Linked DNA regions of Drosophila melanogaster. The protein of the gene in region 2 interacts with the protein of the main gene of each other region in a pairwise test. Each region holds a gene or a part of one and is shown on either strand. Other genes may lie near its edges.

Region 1 (6,488 bases), 6.0 Mb from region 2:
CTGAACCTCACCCGCCTAAATGTGGGTCTGCAAACGATTCCGTTATACAAGCGTATGGATTATCCGGCGTCTTTGTTCACCCGCGCTCAGATTGCCGCCCAAGAGAAGGCCGCCGAACGGGCTGAGGCAGTTTACCAGCAGTGCATTCTGAAGGACGCCAATGGGGGCGCCAAGTCGCGAGCTCCCTCTGCTAAGTCCAATAAGGACGTTGCCCCTGCAGCGGCGGAAAAACCAATTGCTGCCTCAGCAGCTGAACCTGATGAACTTGACGAGCTATTGGCCATGACCGATACGCAACTGGATATAGGCTCTGGAACCATTACGATGCCAATGCCTATGGTGCAGCCGGCCACACCCTCATCGGCAGCAAGCAAAAACGGTGTGGAGGAATGGCTGGATTCCGTTTTGGATGAATAGTTACATAGTTCAGGAGGACTATTACCAGAGCTTTTTACGCTTACACGAAATATTCAAATCACTAAGTGCTTGCATTTTTAGAAGTAGCATCATTAAAATTGCAAAATCTAGAGTTTTCCTCGTAACTTTATAGTTAAAGCTAGAGCCTTTTTATTGTGTATAATAAAATCGTTGATTGCATATATATACGATGCGATTGTTTCTTGAAATAAGTTTCAAAGGTTAGGTTAAGTTATTGAAGATTTCAATTCTCTTCTCATCAAAGTATCTGAATTTATAACAGATTTCTTTGTTTCCGTTCGCTATTACTTACATTGTGGTCCACTTTTGCCTTGGTAACACTTAACCAAATGGCCATGCAAGAGCTGCATAAGCTCACATATGGACTCCAAAAGCACCAGGCGCTCATGCAGATGCCCCAAATCGTTGTTCTCCACCATCAGCGGACGCAGCTCATCAACGATCGCGATTAGCCAGCGAACTAATATCGAACAATCGTCCCTGGCCAGTTTCATATAATCCTCCGGCACATCGGTCTCCTGGCACAGTTGCTGGCCCTGGGCATTGAATGGTCCGATCAGCAGGATGCTGGATATCAAACGGACCACCAGGTGCAGGGAATGCAAATAGGATATTACATAAATATGCGGCTTCACCACGGCAACGACGAGCAGCAGTGTGTTAGCCGGACGCAATCGGTGCAAGTCCAGGCCCAAGTCCGACATATGATCCAACATGGCCCAGAGCAGACAGTTAGCCACAACGCTGGCCATTGTGCACAGCGGACTGGCCACGCGGCAGCCGAGGATCAGGTTGAGCATTGTGCTCGAACTCTGGATATCCAAGAGACCCAGGACATGGACGCATACCTGGTGGATCTGTTGGGCAAAGAAAGGGAAGGATCAAAAAATATATATTTCAAACATATATATGCTTACTCACATGGCTTTCCTCGGAGCATGCCATATAATTGAAGCACTTTTGCAGGAAAAGAGTTCTTTTCACCTGGGTGGCCGACGTGTCCTCATGATGGAGTAGATAAACCATCAAACCGCATACATACACCGCAGCCAGTTTATCTGCTCCGAATTGGATCCCCTCCTGGTTGAGCAGTTCATCAAAACCAGATATAATCTAACGGAACATGTGAATAAATTAGATAATGTGATTATGATATGAATATGGATCACCTCCAGAATATTGCCGGTGGCATAAATAAAGTAGCATTGTTCCCGAATCGCCGATCGACTCATAGTCTGACGCAGCTCTTCCAAACTGAATCCCTGGGGTCGCACCATGTGGCTCATGTTGTATTCTGCCATTTTATCTGAGGAAAAAGCTGGAAAAAGGGAGTTATGCATTACTTTTGAACAGGGAAAAGGCGCCTTCAAGGATTTGCTGCTGCTTCACCTTCTCCTCCTCCTTCTACAAATTAGTGACTGAAAGATATGATGTGTGCAAATAGCCAACGCTATTTTAATGAGCTCCACAACATTTTGACATGTTTTTCAAACACACTTGGCTGCCATCTTGGCCAAGCCGAGTACAGTGAAATCAGCAAGTGGGTACTTTTAATTGAAAAGTCTAGGAATTAACTATGAAGCTTTTGATTTGAATTCATGAACCTTGAACCTATGTACATCTTCCATGATTTAAAATTAATTTTTTGTAATAATATATTAAAATATTATAATTATATAGTTATGTTCATTTTTAGACAAAATACACTTTTGTGTTGAACTTCTAGTTGAATCGCATAAAATTGAAGGACTTAGAGGAGTCGCTGCTATCGGACGCTTACTGTAGTTATGATTTTTCCTGCCTGTGTGTGTGCCCGCCTTTGTTTGTGTGTATTTGTGCTTGTCCTTGCACTGCTTTCGAAAAGGCTGGCAAAATGCAAATGCACGCGCGATGTGCGCATTTTAGCATAAAAGTCACCTGGCCTCCGTTTCCGACTCCCACTTTTCCACCTGCCACGCCCATCGCCGCTTCAAGTTTCTTGCACACTTGGCGAATATCTGCTCATTATGCATTCATATTTCATATTTCGCAATTACTTGCTTTCACACACACACACACGCACGCAAACGAACTGGCGGTAAAAAGCGCAAGAGGTGCAAGCAAGATGGCCATAACAGCAGGAAACCGTTAAGTTTCTGTGTGTGTGTGTGTGTTTGTGCGTCCTTTGCTTGGTCTTTTCTTTCTGCTCTTCTGCTTTTTTATCGCCCCCTTTATTTTTTTGGGGCATTTTTTGCACAGATTCCTATTGAAATTTCCATATTCACATTTTAATTATGCGTCGGCATGAAAAGATTAACAACTTTTTTGCAATCTCTCTGTGTGTGTGTGTGTGTGTGTTATGCTCTCCTTTTTGTTTTTAATTATGCACATGTATTTGTTGATCAAATTTAAATGGCAAAGGGGTAGGCAACATATAACCCTCTCTTTCTGAACTGCTTGCAAACATAACCTCAATTTAGCTGCCACTGCTTGCGAAGCGATTGTATGCTAATCAACTGGGAACATCTATAGCATAATATGATCTATTATATCAGCGTCCAGCTAAAAATCTACGTCAAGTGTAAAAACCCAAGAATCCCCCTCTATTAAACGCAACAAAAGTGCTCAATTAGCGAGGGTTGTTCAGCAAGTTGAACGGGAAACGCAGACCAGGCCAATTACAGTCAAACATCCGTAAGTGGAAAAGATGCTTACATTTTTATTTTACTACAAGATTGAAAAGATGTTTACATTTTCCATTTGAGTATTTTTGCTCATCATAAGAAAAATTTTACTGTAGTTATTTATCTTACTTAAAAAAAAAAATGACAAGACTGGTATTATTATTTATGGAACCATCATTTGGAGGTTCAACTGTGCTAATAGATACTAACAATCATATCCGGTTCCCGTCGGATGGCGATGATAATAATAATCAAGATGGTGATGACAAGTGGCAAGTAGCTACCCTTTAATTTTTGAGGGTGGACCGAACTGATGAGCCGCTTGTGTGCGCTGTTTGTTGTAACCAATCTGTGCATTTTACGCCTAATTTAAGGCAAATTGTCCACCCCACTTGTCTCAACACTTTTGCAACCGAAAACCCTCCCCCATCCAACTAACTTTTTCATTTTTCGGTCTTCGAGGCCGCGGGGCCTGACAAAAGCCAACAGATTTTCATGTCATTATTTACTGATTTGTGGCATTTGAAAGGGAATCGGTTTTCGGGCTTAGGATTTGCGTTCTGTAACCACCCAGCGAACTTTTTGTTTACTAATGAAGTTGTTGTTTACACAATTGGAAAGTATGATGTATGTATACAAATGATAGCCACAGTGCAAGTGGAATCCAAACCGTTCCACCCACCAATTATCACGAAATGTCATCTGAGAATTAGCCACTTTTGCAAGACGCGACATAAGAAATCGAATAGACCCTTGCAAAGAAAATAAGTCTAATATTTCTGTCGGCCCTGATGATACTAAGCGAATTTCTTTCGGTAAGGTAAACATATTGATTTTCTATTAATTATATGCGTTGTGTAACTAGAAACAGTTTTAAAGAATTTGCAAGATGGGGGTAATGAAGAAAAAGTGCCCAAGTAATAAAGAATTTCATGTTTTACAGAGTTTCCTGTATGTATGTATATGTAAGTGCTGTGGCCAACTTTAACCTTTATTTAAACAGCTTAGGACTATTTTTGACCTTAAGATCAATATGCTCTAATAACTATATCATTAGCAATAAAAAAAAGATATACATAAATTTCCAAATATATAGATATAGATAGTTCTAGGAGCTTAGGAGCGTGAAAGAGAGTGATGACCTGGAAATTGCACCAAAGAAAAACTCAAAAAAGAAAGCTTTGGGATCTTTTTGATCAGTGCCAGAAGTTCAAGCGAATCCTTGAGATCAATATGCTCCTGGTGGGCACAAGCGAGAATGCTTTGAGATTCACTATATCATTAGCAATCAAACGAAAAGATACAAAAATTCTAAAATATCTAGATGCAGTTCGAGGAGCTCAGGAGTCTCATAAAGTTCATCCCCATGGATGGGGATCTCAAAGTTTATATACAAAAGGGGCAGGAATCGTAATGAATGTAATTAAAACTGGACATACCTGTACGTTTTGTATGAAATGTTTAGCTTGGCGGAAGAATACTTCACTTGTACAATGAAATTACTTCTCACTTCCTCGTCAATTATTAGCAAATTATCAAGGAGCTCACTAATATTTCAATGGGTATCTTTTTTATTCCGCTGACCACTATTCGCTTTTGCAACAAATTGCAACTGATCGATGGAAAGCCATAGTCAGTGGCTTTCCCTTAGCCATGGACTCTTAGCCAGAGGCAACCTGTATGGCTCAGTCGGGGTTCGAGGCTGAGACTGTGAGACGATTCGATTCGATTCGATCCGATTCGATTCAATCCACAGGTTCGATGGCCGCACAATGGGACACAATGCGGCAATTAGGCATAAAGATGCCAGATTTGAAATAAGCAAGTGTGGCACGGCCCGCGGCACAAACACAATTTCGGACGATTTTCCAAGCGGATAATGACAAACATTTTTAATCACAAAAACGAGACGAGAAACCACCACCGCCAATTGCAGTGGACGGGGGAAAACACAAATTTTCACACAATATGGCAAACATCTCGCAGCCATCCTCCAACCGGAAGTCAAGTGTGTCGAGTCCTTTTGCCCTGCCCATCCATGATGACATAATCGCCCCTCAACACAATCATTATGTCGAGAATTGCTGTTGCGGTTTCTCCGAACTTCACTTCTATTTTTTTTCCTTTATTTTTATATACATGCATATATATATATTTTTGTTTCTGCCCCGCGGATGGGCCACAGCAGGCTGGAATTTAAATTGAAATTGGTATATAATGGCAGGGAGTAACTGACAGTTCCTCCCCTGTGAGTAAAGTGAGTACATTCATGGCCAAAGTCAAGTGCCTTCTGTGGTAACTTTATTATTTTACAATACTTATGCGGCCCAAAACAATCATTACTTTAACAAGTCCAATTTGTTTAGATCTCAAGAATATTTATGTTGTATTTCTGACACCTTGCTATTTATTTACTTATTTATATATATATATATAATATAATTTTATGTTACGTGGGCTGCTTACCATTTTAAATGTATGAAGTAACAGAGGCAACAAATGTAAGATGGAAAGATGGAATTTGGAATTTGGAAATATAATTTAGATTTAGATTTGCTAATAGTTTTGGCTAGTCTTGAAGTTCTCGCGCCTCTTTAGTCGGCCAAACCCAAATTCATAATCACAGGCAAAAGTGCGCAGAAAAGTATGCTACACTTTTGGCACTAGCATTTTCTGTTGTTTTTTTTTCAAAGCTGCAAATTGTACGAACTCTTTAGTTTCGTAGTTTTCAGCCTGAATGCGAGCAAAAGCCGAAAAACTTTTCCCCACTCTCCCGGCTTTATTCCTTTTTTTTTTTAGTTGCAAAGTTCTCCAACGCCGAGAGCTTAATGCAATTAATAACTCATTAAATAAATACAAATCAAATTGAATGATGGCCAGCTCAAAGGAGAAGGGCTGGTGGAGCAGGAGGTGCCTTTGTGCTCAAAGGATGGCTGCGTAAAATGTACCAATTAAAAATGCCATTCAAATCTCAATGGCTGCGCAAATGAACCGCATGAATGTGAGAATTTGCGGTATCAAAAAAAAAAAAAAAAAACGCGAAGGAAACCGGTGAAAGAATCATCCATCATCTATCTGTATCTGCAAGTGGCTGGCATGATGGGGGTTAGCAGATGCATTTTATTCATTAGATTACATTCACATTTCATAGACGATTTCATGGCAACGTTAACTTGCTTGCCATCCCATTCGCCTTTGCCTTTCATTCGCATTTCAGCCATTTTTCCCGCATTTTTTCGCATTGCCCGCCTCGCTTCTTTGGCTTTTCCGTTTTGTTTCCGGTGGCTCCCATCAAGTATCTTTTTAATTAGCGTTCTGTGCCGCTCTGCACCACTTGAAAACTACTACCCGTTCCACGTCGTCTGCCCCTATATCATCATGCCATAT
Region 2 (4,613 bases):
TAAGTTGGATACCGCCTCTATTGCTCACGGGAATTGTTGTGATTTCGTCGCCCTCTCAAAAATAGAACATTCGCGAAGAGTACTTCCCCACGCGCTACTCCAAGAGCGGTGACGACCTGGACAGCATGCTCGAGTGGATCAAGCTGAACACAGAGCGAGATGCGGTCTTTGCCGGCCCCGTGGACATCATCGGCACCGTGCACTTGACCACCAAACGGCCCATAGTCAACCATGCGCACCTGGAGATGCGTCAGATAGCGTAAGTTCTCCCAATCTGAGCGAGATAGCCTATCGACTATGCCCCTGCTCTGTCCCGCTCTCATTGGCATCCATATCCTGGCCATGCACGTACTGAAACTTCCGCCTTTGTTTATCTTTTTTAAGGGAGCGCACGGAGCACGTGTACTCGGTGTACAGTCGTCAGCAGTCGTCGGATATCTACAACCAGTGCGCCCAGCTGAAGATCCAGTACTTGATCATATCGCTGGACGAGTGCACCAACGAAGTGCGGTGAGTAGACGCAGACAAAATCCTCGAGACGGGCACTTGAACGCTTAATTGAGATATTGTATTCTTATCGCATTAATATGTACTTTTGCCTGCTTTCTACAACAGCGACGATTGCGATCTGCTGGCCATTTGGGATGACAAGCAGCCGGCCTACCAAAAATACCCACAGTTCTGCCACGAGCTGCTCCACAAGAACGTGCCCAGCTTCCTGAAAGTGTTCGCCAACGACCACTACGGCATTATCAAGATGTTCTCGCAGAGCGTCCAGATCAACCTCAAGCACAACAAGATGCCCGAGATGTCCATATAGGGCTGGCCGTCCACGGAGGCGGCGCGATGATGGAATGCTGGAATCGTGTTGTGTTGTACGTAGCTGTGTGAGCTGTGTGACTAGGATTTAGCATTTTACGATGTGTGTGTATTATGATTACGTTTAGTATTGCCCCAACCTCGGATGCCCGAACACATCTCGCACCCAATCCCAAATCCCGATCCCGCGTAGTAGCTGATTTGATATGGCAGATTGGCGATTAGAAGGAGGCCCCTTCCGCTAGATAGTAAACTGGATGCATTTAGCAGCTTGACTTGTTTCCGCGCCGCTGCGTTCAAACCTTGTTTGGATCATTCCCCGCACCCGCACCTGCGCCTGCGCCCTCGCATTCGAATAAGTTAATCTAGCCGAACGGAGCGACCTTAACTCTAAATACTTTCGTTAAGTTTAAGCTAAGCTTTTTACATTTACGCATGTAGTATACATATGACGATGAGACGCGTGTGGCAACGAAAGTGGCTGCATGTGGACGATGTGCATCCGGGAGCCACGATCCCAGACCCAAAAACAAGCGGGTAAACACGCATTTGCCAGGCAATAAGTGAAATAAAATGATATATTTGAAACAATCCTATGGGCATCTGTTGTTTGTTTATATCTTTAAAATGCTTACTCCTTATTGTTCACAACTTTTGAACAGTAAAAATGTGAGTATATATTTGTTTTGAAATATATTCACATTTTTAGTTTTATACAATACAGCTTATAATATGTAAATAAATAATATCATTAATTATGATTTCCATTTATACAATTTATTTAAATTTCGAATTTCACCTTACAGGGTTTGTGTCGCAGCTATCCACCCTGAGTTTGTATCGCGGTTTCGAGTCGATTGCTTAAATATCGATATTATCGAGCACTACCATCCGCATCTGGGATTAACTTCGTTTCGCCATCCGGTCACACACATACCCGCAACAATACACGAATTTTCATTAATAAACACACAAAGTAGTTAAAATTTTGGGTTTACACCGCGGCCCATTCGCATCGCCATCATGCTTTACCTCGAAGACTATCTGGAGATGATCGAGCACCTGCCGCAGGAGCTGCGCGACCGCTTTACCGAGATGCGCGAACTAGATCTCGCCGTCCAGAGTAAGTGCAACCAGAGAATCCGAATCTCTGCTTTTCGCCGGATCACTAACCAATAACTGCTCCTTGCGGTGCACAGACAACATGGACTCGCTGGACAAGAAGGCCCACATGTTCTTCAAGCAGTGCAAGCGCGACGAACTGCAGCACGAGTCGATGGACACGGAGTTCCACAGCCTGCGCGGCGAGTACTTCAAGGTGATGGAGGACGCCGACGAGAAGGTGGCTATTGCCACTCAGATACACGAGCTGGTGGAGCGCTACTTGCGCCGCCTGGATAGCGAGCTCTTCAAGTTCAAGTGCGAGCTGGAGGCGGACAACAACGGCATCACCGAAATCCTCGAGCGCCGCTCTCTGGAGCTGGACGGCAACTCCACTGCAGCCACCGCCCTGCTGCTGAGCATGAACCAGAAGGAGAACCGCTACTACGGCGCCAGTTCGGCCAATACCATGGTGAACAGCTCGACGGGACACGCAACGGGTGCCGCCACTGGCTCCTCCGGCATTGCACTGGTCAGTGGTGCTGCCGGAACGGGCGGTGCCCTCTCCAGCATCTCCACCGCCCAGTTGGGCTCAAGTCAGCGCCACCGCAAGCTGGAGAAGCGGCGGGAAACCATATGCACGGTGCCTGTTCAGGAGAAGCGCGCCAATCTGAATCACTCACTTCCCGTGGTCGGTTCGGGCTCCACGACTGCCGCGGCAGCCTCATCTTCGTCCGCCACAACGGCCGCAGCAGCCGCCAGCCTGGCCAGCGCGACGACTGCCCAAACTCATGTCTCCAACCACATTGGCAGCATCGCCGCCACTCATCTCACCCTGCCTGTGGCCATGGGCGTGGCCGGCGGCAGTAGCAGTCTTGCCAGCAGCTCGCTTGCCACAGGAACGGGTTCGCTGGTCCGCCAACTGCCCACGAACCTTACCCACACCGTGCTAAGCACCTCGGGTGGAGCGACCGCCGCAGCGGCAGCGGGCGGCAACTCCACGTCCGTGGTCGCTGCTGGTACGGCCCACGGGCACGCCCATGTCAGTGGGCACTCGGCCGCCGGGGCCACAGTCACCTACAACCTGCAACAACTGGGCGGAGGAGCCGCCGCATCTAGTGCCATTGCGGCGGCAGCCAGCCAGGCGATCGTGGCCACACAGCAGATGCAGCAAGGCCGCCGCACGGCCAGCCTCAAGGCGAGTTACGAGGCCATACACGGAACAGCGGGCACCACCACCGACTTCTGGACCCAAGCCGGTCAGGGTGGACTGCAGCAGTCGACCGCTGGATCGGTGACAGTGGCTGCCGGCACAGCGTTGGCCACCGGCGCAGCTGGCGGTAGTAGCACCGGCTCGCATCATTCGCACCACTCACAGTCGCACCATGGCGGCCATGGGCACGGACATGGTCATGGCCATGGGCATGGTCATGGGCACGGACACCACAGCAGCAGTGGTCACGGCGGCGGGCACAGCAGCCACCACCAGGAGAAGAAGCAAAAGAAGAAGCTAACCACAGCGCTGACGTTGCCCACAGTGCAGCCGACGGCCGGCTCCTCGTCGGGCAACTCGATTGGCTCGTCGTCGTCGATTAGTCTGGAATCGGTGAACAAGCTCACCACGTCGGCGGCCCTGGCGGCGGCATCGGCCACGACAACCTACATGTCTGTGGGTGGACAGGCGCTGCTCGCCATGACCCCCGGAGGTGGAGGCGGAGGCAACTTGGCGGAGAGTTCCGCTGAGGGCGTGCCCGCCGGAATGATTGCCATGAACCTGCCCACCACCACGGTAACGCCCGGCTCCAGCCTGACCATCGGCGAGAACGGACTCGTGGTGGAGCAGACGAACGAGGGCGAATGGTCGTACGATCCCAACGAGCCGCGCTACTGCACCTGCAACCAGGTGTCCTACGGCGACATGGTGGCCTGCGACAACGACGCCTGTCCCTACGAGTGGTTCCACTACCCCTGCGTGGGCATCACCCAGCCGCCCAAGGGCAAGTGGTACTGCCCCAAGTGCACCGCCTCCATGCGGCGCCGTGGCAACCGAAAGAACTGAGGCTGACTGCGCCTGCTGGCGCCCCTCTTCCGTGGCGGGGGCGGCGGCGTAGGCACCTGGTCGCGTCGCTAGCGGCTCTTATACTTGTAAAGTGACAAATAAACAAATTCAAAGTATTCAATAAAGTTAGATCAGCAATAGAGCAGCTCTTTATATTCAGTTCGGAACGCAAAGGCGAATAGTGGATTGGGATTGCACTAATATATCTTAACTAAAGTAGTTTAAGCCAGCTTCTAGCTTAAATAACAAATTTAGGGTGTTTTCGCTACAATAATAATAAACAATAAAATATAGTTCATTCGATAGTTTGATTTCAAAATTCGCGCCCTCTTGGCAATCAAACAGCGTGACCATGCTGCGCTTGCTAAAGCACTCTGGTCACGCTGAACAGAAGAAAAGAAAATTTCCAGCGTCATTTGTGCATTGCAAGTTAGTAAACAATAAAAGCGCATAAACAGGGCTAGGAAAAGCGGGAAGACGATTAGGTAAACAGAATTCGACGCAAATCGGTTGGAAAAACGGCCTCAAGATTGGCAAGATACGCAAGAGCAAGAAAATGAGCTACAACGAGAAATCGGAGGCCATCATCAAGGAGGAGTGGCTGCAGCGCCTGGAGCAGTTTCCCTTCAAGCAG
Region 3 (4,763 bases), on a different chromosome or scaffold from region 2:
CAAAAGACTATGCTATAGTGGAGTTCCCCGACTATCAGGAACCCAGATATCAGAATACAATTAGAATGAAATAGGCGGTTTATGGGGGTTAGAGTGGGCATAGCAAAAAGTTTTGTTTATCAAATTTACAACACCAGCGAAAATATGAAAAAAGATCAAAACATTTTTCAAAAGCACGGGCGTGACAGGTTTGGTAAGTTTGTAGGTGTGGCAAAATGGGTCAACAAACTTGCGCTGCTTCTATGTCTCTAGAATCTGTATGCTTAACCTCAACCTTTTAGCTTTTATAGCTCAAGGACTGCTAGGTTCGGAAAAATCGAATTTCTTTTAATTTGAAATCTGGTATCGTTTGCCACGTCCAATTTTTGAAATCAGAATTTTCGAAAAAGATATAAAATCAAGAAGTTGAGGTTTTTTTTTTAAATCGCAATACCATTGTTTGTTCACGTTTGACCACCTTTTAGAATTTGAAAAAATGTATAATTTAGAAAATATATGACATAAAGCGTTTGACCATCGCTTACAACTAAATATTATCAATTAAAAACGTTTGCAAAACCATTATTATTATTTTCTTATCGTTTGCACACCCTTAAAACAAAAAAACTAAAAAGAAGTGTAAACTGCGGTTTTAGTAACTGATAATATTTTTTCACCAGATCGAAGGTGCTCTAAAAAATCGCGGTCGGTCATATGCAGCGGTTTGCACTGCCACTGACCACGAAAAATGCCCTCTTTGAACAAGAATTCGACTTTATTCGTTTAAAACATCACCAGATAGATATTGCGAGCCATTATAGTTAAGGCCATCTTTTGGTTTCATTTAGCGCAGTGCTGTACATCGTCGATTGCTTGTCTTTTGTAATGGTACAGTGGTGTTCACAAACTCTTGTGATTCTGTATATGGCTATGGATTTTGTATATAAAGAGCCTGAGTCGATGAGAACTTCGGACTTCTAAAAGTTTTGGGTTTGGTTGGGTTTAATCGGCCAACGCAGAAGTCAACAGCAGGCGTGTGATTTTCGTTGCCAAAATGGTCTCCTTGCTGATCTCAGGGACTTATGAGAATTCGGATCAAGGCTGTGCACAGGACAACTGCGAGGACGACTATTTTACTACATCCGGCGACGCCTTTTTTCGCTTCCAGAGAAGACACTATCATCGAGGTGCTTGCTGCTGAACCACGGATAAGTATTAGGGTTCTGGAAAAAGAGAGACCCCAAGATGCGATGCTTGCCGGACATCAATTGTTGTCACGTTGTTAGCTTCACTTTAATGTGTATAAGTATGTGAATTTGTGAAAGATTTTCATTTAGCAAAAGTAATGATTATTTAAAAGAGTTTTGGCTCGCGAACCGGTTCACCATTATAGGGCACTGTAACTACACGGTTCATGTAACATACTATATATCACCGTACTGTCTAGAAAAAAATCATGCTTGCGTAAGAGTGGGCGTGGCCAGAATGTTTAAGTCATTACGATTAAAAAATTAAGGTTTCATACCATCTATTTTAATTATATCGCAATGCAAAGATAAATGAAACATGTCCCAAAAATGAATTAAAAATTATGGCGGTTTATTTTTATGAAATAAAAGTTTACCCGCTTAATATTCTCTTTAATTTGCGAATACATCAACTTCTTGCTAAACTCTTTTGTATGTATACAATATACTTTTTTTGCCAAGAGTTGAGGAGTATAAAAAACATTTACCGATGAAACGCTTTTGCCGCATTGTCGTTGTTATGGTTATGCCCTTTGGCTTACCAGCATTTGACCCGGAACCTGCAGCAGCGTTTAAAGCGTGAGACAGACCAAGGAATACGCGGGACGAGAAATGTGCATTGACTTTGTTGTTAGAAACCGCGCACTTTGCAGTGCATTTATTCCGTCGTCGGTGTTGAATGAAACAAAAGTGTCGCTATTATTTAACGACAACAGCTCCTTGGACTTCAGACTCTTTGGGGTCTCTTAAGAAATGTTGAGAAAAGTGACATGGCTTAACACATCGGGGGTCTATTCAAAGGACAGATTTATAAATTCCATTTAACCGTTTCTTTAATTTGTATATCGCCTATTTTTATTAAACAATAAAACAGTATTTATAATTCAATTGGCTTTTAAAGGGAGAGAATAATTTTAACATTCGATTAGCCAACAGTAGATGAATAGCCTGAATCCAACGTATAATCCTAGAAAATTCTTGGACTCATTTATTTTGAAAACTTCCGCACAACCTTTAAATGTCATCTCATGGGAATGGTTAAACCATACTTCGATCAAGGCATTACAATAGAAATGTCTACTTCTTCCTTTGGAGACTTAACAGAAAATTTCACTTTCTTTGTTAGCGCTAAATAGGGGTTTGAGGATCTTAGCGATGCAACCTGCACCTGGTCTTGTGTAATATTTATTACGCTTTCTATTAAATAAAGCATACTTTTGTGAGCAATTGTTTGCCTTTTCTGTGCGGTCCACCCGCTAAGTTACAACAACGTATACTGCAGTTGACAAGTGTATGGGGAATTTTGTAAATGAAGTAAACTTATCCCAAGCCCGAATGACTACCGATTGTTGAAAAGAAATAAAATTAGTTTTCTATGCTTTCTTTTATTTTTCAATGGTTTGCTTGTGTAAGCTTTTCATAATTAGTCGGCTTTATTTTATAAGGTAAGTTTACTTTGTCAAAATTGTTGAACTCAACCCAACAACGCATTTCAGCCAGCTTAATTGTACTGACAACTTACATGTACTTGGATGTAATTAATCCACGATGTTTTTAAATATTTAAGTCACTTTTCAACAACTCTCACAATTCACGCTGCATTTCATTTTTGCTAAATATATATCGATCCTTGGCTATCCTTTTTCGTTTTCGAATTCTAAGCAATAGTATTTTTTAAAAACTTCCGCACAATTCGAATCAAATATCTCGGGAGCGCACAACGATTACCGGAAACGCGGAAGCGCTGGTGATGACGGCCACTTGTGGAATGGCTGAATGAACGAAGCGGTGCCATCGGCCGACCCGAGTCCAGACAAAAGACGAATCACAAGCCTGGCCGATGGGAGTCGAGTCGAGCAACAAGTCCACCCAGCAGAGGGGGCTGGAGCTTCCGCCCGCACGAGAGCCTGAGTCGAAACAGACTGGCGAATGGAGAGCAACTGAAAATACTCAAAAACGGAGTGGATTTCTGAGTCAGAGTGTTTTTTTTCGTATTTTCCAAAGTATTGAGGTGGCACCGCTGAAATTAGAGGATTATGTTATCTGGGGTCCTTTAATTAATGCCTGCATATTGACATTGCAGTCCGTACCCACGATAACTCCTTAATATAAATACTAAGTAACTGTTTGAATAAATTTTTTTTATATGAAAATGTTTACGAATGTATCTAATGCGAGTTCCGTTCGACACATTAAAGTGTAATGGTATTTCCTGCACTATTTTTAAAGTTTCATAGCCAAATGACTGCAAAACCAAGAAAGTGTTTGTTTTCGAACCCAAAATTAAATAAACTCAACTCGAAACTCAAATGCGAAATATTAAGTATTTATCAAACCAAAACTCCGTTGGCAGGGCATGACGTTCCTCTACTCACTCCGACATTATATCAATAAGTACTAGGTCCCATGAAAAACGAACGTAAAAACGTAAAACGAATATACCCTTCCCGGCACGTTGTCCCAGGCTAGCTCACACATACACAGATGCAGTTCCAACGCCACCACATATTTGCCCAACGGGGTGGATTGTGGCTCGGAGTTCCTAGACATGGACACCACGTGCTCAGGCTCAACTCCAGAGGGGGGTATTGAGCCATAGGGCAGGGGCACCCACAAGGGACTATGGGAAATTTTACCACTTTTTCTGACCAAAATGAATAACTCCAGAACGGAGTAAGATATTTGGTTTTTCTTTTCTTACATTGACTTATACTAGACCATATCTATGAGACTTCCAAAACTGTGGGCGTGGCACCACGCCTTATATTTAATTAACTAATTTTCGTAAAGGGAATTCTCCTTTATATAAAATAATACTAACAAAAACAAAAGAGAATGCTATAGTCGAGTTCTCCGACTATCAGATTGGGGAATAAATCATTTTTGGGGAATAAAATGAGAAAAAATTTCCAAAGTGTGGGTTTAACCGGTTCGGCGGCTTTAGGGCGTTAGAGTGAGCGTGGCAAAAATGTTTTTGTCAAATCGATAGGAATTTACAAGAATAATACAATTTTGAAAACATTTCAACATTTCACAAAATGCGGCCGTTTAGGCGGTTTTAGGGCGTTAGAGTGGGCGTGGAAAAATGGGTCAACAAACTTGTGTCTGTCTCTAGAATCTGTCTGCTGCATCTCAACCTTCTAGCTTTTATAGTTCCTGAAATCTCGCCGTTCATACGGACGGACAGGGCCAGATCTTCATACGGATAGTCGGACAGACGGACATGATAAGATCGACTCGGTTATTGATCCTGATCAAGAACATATACTTTATATAGTCTTAATCGCTTCCTTCTGACAGTTACATACTTTTCAACGAATTTATTTACTCTACGAGTAACGGGTATAATAATAAAACAAATCAGCAACAAATCAGCAACCGCCTTGTTGAACTCCTTTTTAGCATAAAAAACTTAACAAGAATACAAAGCTACAACATGAGGTACATTTCATTGATGGACTTTTTAAGTTAAGTCTTTATCAAACAAATGCTTTTGTAAGGAAATTTATATTTTACTCAATTTTGGGTACAACACGA
Region 4 (6,775 bases), on a different chromosome or scaffold from region 2:
CGAGAAGGAGGAGTTCGACCACAAGCTGGAGGAGCTCACCCGCCACTGCTCCCCCATCATGACCAAGATGCATCAGCAGGGTGCGGGAGCTGGAGCTGGTGGTCCGGGAGCAAACTGCGGCCAGCAGGCGGGAGGATTTGGAGGCTACTCTGGACCCACGGTCGAGGAGGTCGACTAAGGCCAAAGAGTCTAATTTTTGTTCATCAATGGGTTATAACATATGGGTTATATTATAAGTTTGTTTTAAGTTTTTGAGACTGATAAGAATGTTTCGATCGAATATTCCATAGAACAACAATAGTATTACCTAATTACCAAGTCTTAATTTAGCAAAAATGTTATTGCTTATAGAAAAAATAAATTATTTATTGAATTTAAAAAAGTTTACTTGTTTGTATTATTGGGAACTTAATTCCCGTATTCCCGTATGTCCAACTTTAAAAATATATCTAATTATTATGAGGATATTCGCATAACACATGAAAAAAAAACAAATTTTTCTGAGTTTTTAATTTATTAGGCTGATTTAAAACTGTTTACTAAAAAGCATCTTAAACAGAAGAAATAATAATTATGTAATATTAACAATTAACTTCGGATTTTTACGCGCAAGATTTTTCTTAATGGCGCTTGCGCGGATGCGACGCGGAAGTGGAGGAGTATGCTTTCGAGCTGGAGTGGTGAGTGCTTCGCGACTTGGAGCGGGATCTCGTGCGGTGCCGCTTCCGTCCGCTGCTGCTGCTGCCGTGATCATGGCTACGGTTGCTGCCATGATCATGGCTACGGCTGCTGCTCTGCCGCGAGGAGCGGTGGTAACTGCTGCTACCGCCAGCATCTTCGCCTGAATGGCTGGACTCGCGATGTCGGCGCTGTTTCTGGTGGTGACTTCCACTAAGCTGGCTACTACGATGCTGGCGATGACTCCTATCACGGTCCCGCTCTCGCTCCCGCGCCCGCTCCCTTTCTCTGTCGCGATCGCGACGTTCGTATTTGCTCCGACTGCTGCTGTGGTGGCTGCGGTGTCCATGCCGACTGGATCGCTTGCTGCGGCTGCCTGAAGTTTTGGATCCGCTCGAGGTGCTGCTACTGTCGTCGCTATCGCTGCTAGAGCTGCTCCCACTGCTGCTAGACGATGACGAGGGGGACGAGTGGCGGCGCTTGCTTTTTTTATGCGACGACTTGTTGGCCTTGTGCAGCGCCTTGTCAGCCGCAGTCAGCATGGTGGCCACCGACTCCGGCATCTGCAGTAGATTAGTGGCCGGATTGGGAACGGGCTTCAGCTTTTGTGGGCTGCTATTGCTTAGGCTTCCGGGTGGTGGCACCACAGCGGTCGCCACTACTTGTTGCACGAAGCTCTGCGACTGCTGTTTGCCGTCCTTGTTGTCGCTAAAGCGGGTGGTCCGTTCCTTGCGACTGAGTCTTTTGCCTAAATGATGGCAATGTATGCTTAGGAGTTCTTTGGATTTATGTGCATCACCTATACCATTTGACTGCTGATGCTTTTCCTGGGTTGCTTGACTAGCCGACTCACTGGGCGGTTCTGGATTGGCCGCCGGTCGACGATGCTCACCACCACCAGTTACGGAGCGTTCTAGCTCCCGCTTGCGATGTCGCAGCAGTGTTTGCTCATCAAGCAGCTCTTGCTTGGCCACTCGATCCTCAATGTCGTCAATGACTTTCTCGAAGGATCGTTTGCTGCGCCTTATGCGAGCCTAAAAGCCAAATAATATTGAGAATTGATATCTTTTGATAATGAACGTGTGGCTAACTTACTTTCAACTCCTCCGCGCTTAGCTGCGCGCTTTTTTCGGCATCCTTTCCAGCGCCCGCTTGACGCTCATCTTCATCATCCTCATCATCCTCGGTTTCGCTGGAAGAATCGCCATAGGCAGCTAAACCTATAATTCAAATCAGTCAAGTGCTAATTGTTGCTACCAGGCTTCAATGTAGATCGGGCGCAGATTTTGGTATATTTTGAACTGATTTTCAATATCTTCGCAAGAATTTACGGAAAGGTGAAAGGAAGGGGAAATGGGGAAGCGAAAGGACGAAGAAGCGGGCTAGAAAGACCAAACTGCGCCGAGGGGGTCGAAATCATTTGGCCATGGCTTAAATTTACAGGAAGCATAGAATGTTAAATCTCGGCCATAGGAGTAATCCAATTCTTTGTAATATCTTTTCGTTTTGTGATTAGGATTTGGGGTATAGAAAGACAGGATGACCAAGCATAACTCAGACTACCTCTGAACAAAAATAGTGCAAAGAATATGTATGAACTAAACTGGAATTTGGTTACTTACCCAAGTTGCCGGTAATGGAGGACAAGGCGCTTTTGCGAATCACTTGGGCTGATGACGCTTTTGATTTACACATACATACATATATATATATAATTATATATATTATATATTAAAATTAAAAAATTCAGCAAGTGATTTCATTGGTTTGTGTGGTGTTCGATATATCAATTCATTATTAGGGATTTAAAGATTATTAGCATAGACATAGGATTAAAAGAGTTGGTAACGCGCTGTGAAGCCGGAAAAAACACGACTCCAATCGCTTGGCCGAAACATCCGGTCATCCAAGCTACAATCGATCCGCGATATATCCGCGCCGTCTTACGATCTATAACTACTTACACACACACACACGAGCGCGAGCGCTGGAAGAAATCGGTTTGGGATAAACTTAAGTATAATGCATAATGTACCTTTCGCACGGTGTGCTTTTAGAGTCTCGCCTGCAATGGCTGCAATCTCTTCGTTCGTGGTTTCCAGCAGGATTTCGGTTAGTGTCCGACGCACCACAAGCATCTACAGATGGGTGGTATTGGGTGTTCATATTCATTGTTTGCAACTATACAAATGGGTTTTTTTTTTGGATGTGCCGCCGATGGCCAGGGAATGAAACTCTAGTGAAGAGTGAACGAACTGCAGAGCAGCCAGTAAAGTGTTGTCAGAATTCCGCAGTTCCTTCGCCTCTGAGACTCACTCGATTTCATCGCCTGGCTGAGCAAACATCCGGGTCAAATGGTGATGCCTACCAGATCCGCCAGTCTTTCTTCGTAGTTTTTACCATTGACATCGTTTACGGTAGCCATTCTCACGTGCTCCGCCACTGTCCGATTGCCGGTTTCGATGGCTCCATGCAGCTCCGACTCTGGCTCTTCGCTGCTGCTGCTGCTTCGATCGTCGTCCTTACTAATCAATTCATTACCTATTTGCTGCACCTTTAGTTCTCCACGCGCCTCCACAGGCACGTCAATGGAATCTTCGCTGTCGCTAGCCTGAATTTCAAGGGAATGTTTAATCGACAGCCTGCACTCAAGCCTGCAGTCTGCTCTACTGTCCGGATTGTTTTTAAGTTTTGTGTGCTTTCAACGACGAAACATCGTTTTCAGTTTGGTTCAGTCCCGTCTAAATTTTGTGCAACCAATTTGTGTGAGATGGTGTGTGCTACGCTTTCGGCACTTTTCTGTCCGTATTGAGAGTCAGTTAACCCTGCCGCCCATCGACCTTACTTACCACGTTCGCGATGTTCAAAAGATTACCAGGTGTGGTTAGTGTTTTGCTTGATACTTGCTTAACATGGTTGACCTCAACATCTGGCGTGGTCATGGAGGATTGCTGGCGCTCTAGTTGCCGCTGCTTTTCCCGCTCCATTTTCTCCAGGCCCTCTCTGAAAGATTAAGGAAATTATTACAAGTATCTATCTTTTGTGCATCTTATTGTGGTTCTTTGCACACTCATACCTTATCCAAGCTGGCAACATTTTCCGTTTGTTTGCATCGATCTCACTGCTAGCCCCGCTACTTCCGCTTTCCGCATGCGTCTGCTGTGTGTGCTGTGGCGGCAGGTGTGTATGTGGTGTTAGGTGGTGTGGATGTGCATGCGGCTGATGTGCTGGTGGATGGTGTGGATGCGTTGGTTGGGGAGCATGCTGCTGCTGCTGCTGCTGATGCGCTTGCAACTGCAACTGCAGCTGTTGGTGCGGCTCATTGGGATTGCTCACGTTCAGCTTCAGCAGAGATGGTATATGCGCCGTGGAATTGCCTGATTTGTCGGTCTGCATTTGCCACCCGGTCCATGGCTGCTTGCCCAGCGTGACAGCTGCAAGGAACGGAGAGGAGGGTTAGTTGCTGACCTGATTTATTGTGCTATCTTCTTGGATCTTCTACAAACCCGCTCCGTTGGAGGCGTCTGGGATCTGACCAGCCACTTCGGTGCCCGCCAGCCATTGGGATTGCGTAACCAAAGGTGCTGGCGGTGGGGGTGTCTCAGTGCTATGTCCCCGATCATTCTCATCGTCCATGTCCATATCCGCCTCGCCGTGCTCCTCTAGTTGCGGAAATCCCGCCCTGACCACACTGGGCACCGGCATTGCTAGCGTCTGCTGGTGGTATTCTCGCAAATTGCTGATGATGGGCGGCGGAGGGGCCAGGGGCATGGGCACCGGAGTAGCGTCCCGCATGTGGATCCATTGCTGGGCGAGCTGCGCCCAATCGATGCCAACGCCACCCTGCATGGCGAGCGGCAGGCCGGCGGCTACCATGGGCGTCACCATGCCCTGACCGCCCCCGGAGGGCAGTGAAAAATGTGTGGGGGGTGGTGGGGGCTGCGCCAGGAACTGATTGTGATTATGGTTGTGCCCATGGCCATGTTGTCCAAGTCCATGGACGTGGGCATGCTTGTTGTAGCCCAAATCGGCGTTTCCGTTTCCACCAGGAAACATCTCTGCTTGTAGTTCGAATATGCTCTTTAAATCCCAGCTGTATTCCTCAGTTATCGAGGTTTTCTTCACGAGTGAAACGAATTTTCGTCGCCTTCTACGCCATTTTCTTGCTCAGCCCGTTTTGTCATTCGCAGCGAAGCGGTAACAGCGGGTCGCTCATATGACGGTATTTTTTAATACACTTCAGCTATACTGTTATTTCAAAAACATATTTCTTTTGTTACTTTTTATGCAGTTCATTTGCCACCAAAAAGTAGTCTTTTGGATTGATTTATTTCTAAAAATGGTGTAATTCAAGAAATTCAGAGGGCCAAGTAATATACTTAATGACCGTTATTTAAAACACACTCAAGGAGATTTATTTAAACGGCTACAATGGTTTTCCAAATAACTTATTTACTGTTGACTTCTATAAAACATAGGTGTATATATTATTATTTTTTATTGATTTGAGATAATTTTAATTTCCACAATATTTTTTCTTGTGATTAACAGAGAAAGTCAAACTCATAACATTTATCGGGTAAAAGTCTCTATGAAGTAGAGGTTAACAGTGAAGTCGCAAAAGTGTGGCCGTACGCCAATCGAGCGAGTATCCCTAACCTGCAATATTTTTAGTTGGTTTTTTCAGCAATAGCCCCACTTTTCTCAAAGAGTGCAACAAGTGATTCTGTTTATGTTTTCAACAACTTCTCTCTGCGGAACTTAACGTGAGCGGACGTATGCGGACGCGTCGCTGCCGGAAAAATAAGTTGCGTCGGCGTTGCGGCGTTGTTGTTTACGTGTTATAATAAATTTGTGTGCGTGCGAGAAGGGCGCGCTCCTGTCTGTGTTGGTGTTATTGTCGGTCGTTCTCAGCGCGAGTTTCGAAATACCGCATTGTTTAATTACAGCCGCCGCGACTAATTTCAATACAAACAAAAGCTGGTGTGTGAATGAAATTATGCTAAAATAGATAATAGTTAAAGGTAAAAGAAATTAAAAGATGAAGAAGGAGAAGAGGAAGAGAAGTTCTGCAGCGCAGTTGCGTCGGCGCAGCAGCGTTTCTATCGGTGTGTGTCTGAGTCTGTCTGTAGTGGTTTGTCTGGTTTTTTTTCGGGCTGTGTGTGTTCGTGTTTGCCAAGCAACAATTTAATTGCTATTCAATTTTAAAAGCAGTTCAATTGCAAACCATTACAAATATGTAATTTGCTGTCGATTGCTTTTGCACTGGAGTGCGTAATTACATTTTTGAGCCACCAAACACCAAACAGTGCAACTGTTGCCGCTACACTGGGAGCAAAACAGGACGGATAGATGATCAACAGTTCGTTGATTTTACAAAGACAAACGTTTTATTAATATACTTAGCATGTGATTCGATTTAACTGAAAATATATACAAATATTTAGTGGTTGCAAGTTTCTTTGTCATGTTAAGGAAACAAAAGTTCAATTTACGTCTTTATCTATATCAATCTTTCAACCATCAAAATAAAATAAAAAAAAATGAAATATCAACTTAATCTCAGAAATTTGGTATCATACGCAGATCTTGATTTTCTGTGTGCTCTGTAATGGCGTAATCGTAATCTTTGTGCCCCCTTTTAATGATTTAATTAAAAGCGTAAATTGCAGGCCGAAATTCAATTTGTCCGTTTGACTTTTCAATTCGTGTGGGTGGTTCTCTGACATTGGATCGTTGTTGTTTGCTTTTATTTAATTTTTTTTTTTTTGAGTTTTTATTGTAGTTGTGCAACAACACGCACACACACGTAGTAAATAATTAAGTTCGTGCGTCGCGTGCCGTTTTGAATTTTCTTTTTCCTTTTGCTGTGGGGCCCGGAAAATGTTCTCTTCTCACTGCGCGTTTATTTGCATTTCCATCAATGCGAAATTCGACTCGTATAAAATACAATAAAAAATCGTTCGAAAAAAACCAGTTGACCGTGAGATAACTCGTGCATAATTGCTAAATAGCAACAAAAAAGAAATATAAATACATACATATGTGAATGATTGAATTGCTGAAATGTTTAGTGTTTGTGTTTTTTTCTCCTTCT

The links.
Region 1: the proteins of Ing3 (region 2) and CG15728 interact in a two-hybrid assay, tested with the Drosophila melanogaster proteins (one large-scale study listed by BioGRID).
Region 3: the proteins of Ing3 (region 2) and dimm interact in a two-hybrid assay, tested with the Drosophila melanogaster proteins (one large-scale study listed by BioGRID).
Region 4: the proteins of Ing3 (region 2) and CG31211 interact in a two-hybrid assay, tested with the Drosophila melanogaster proteins (one large-scale study listed by BioGRID).

What each region holds. Positions count from the first base shown.
Region 1 is NC_004354.4:12,622,484-12,628,971, reverse strand, and holds CG15728 (uncharacterized protein), read right to left. Parts: upstream 4,681-6,488; 5' UTR 4,541-4,680; intron 1,880-4,540; exon of another isoform or gene 1,828-1,879; intron 1,757-1,827; 5' UTR 1,740-1,756; coding exon 1,608-1,739; intron 1,552-1,607; coding exon 1,360-1,551; intron 1,296-1,359; coding exon 723-1,295; 3' UTR 527-722; downstream 1-526. Other genes in the region: Aven (apoptosis and caspase activation inhibitor), read left to right, coding at 1-417.
Region 2 is NC_004354.4:18,650,193-18,654,805, reverse strand, and holds Ing3 (inhibitor of growth family, member 3), read left to right. Parts: upstream 1-1,714; 5' UTR 1,715-1,842; coding exon 1,843-1,942; intron 1,943-2,018; coding exon 2,019-3,979; 3' UTR 3,980-4,088; downstream 4,089-4,613. Other genes in the region: CG6659 (uncharacterized protein), read left to right, coding at 66-259, 385-510, 616-820; Hou (houki), read left to right, coding at 4,536-4,613.
Region 3 is NT_033779.5:21,330,012-21,334,774, reverse strand, and holds the start of dimm (dimmed), read right to left. Parts: upstream 3,020-4,763; 5' UTR 2,749-3,019; intron 1-2,748. UniProt on the Drosophila melanogaster protein: Transcription factor that regulates neurosecretory (NS) cell function and neuroendocrine cell fate. Acts as a master regulator of common NS functions such as Phm expression and neuropeptide production.
Region 4 is NT_033777.3:11,947,764-11,954,538, reverse strand, and holds CG31211 (uncharacterized protein), read right to left. Parts: upstream 4,860-6,775; 5' UTR 4,735-4,859; coding exon 4,185-4,734; intron 4,113-4,184; coding exon 3,755-4,112; intron 3,682-3,754; coding exon 3,528-3,681; intron 3,290-3,527; coding exon 3,047-3,289; intron 2,817-3,046; coding exon 2,714-2,816; intron 2,358-2,713; coding exon 2,301-2,357; intron 1,899-2,300; coding exon 1,774-1,898; intron 1,713-1,773; coding exon 621-1,712; 3' UTR 501-620; downstream 1-500. Other genes in the region: Hsp70Aa (heat shock protein 70 Aa), read left to right, coding at 1-178.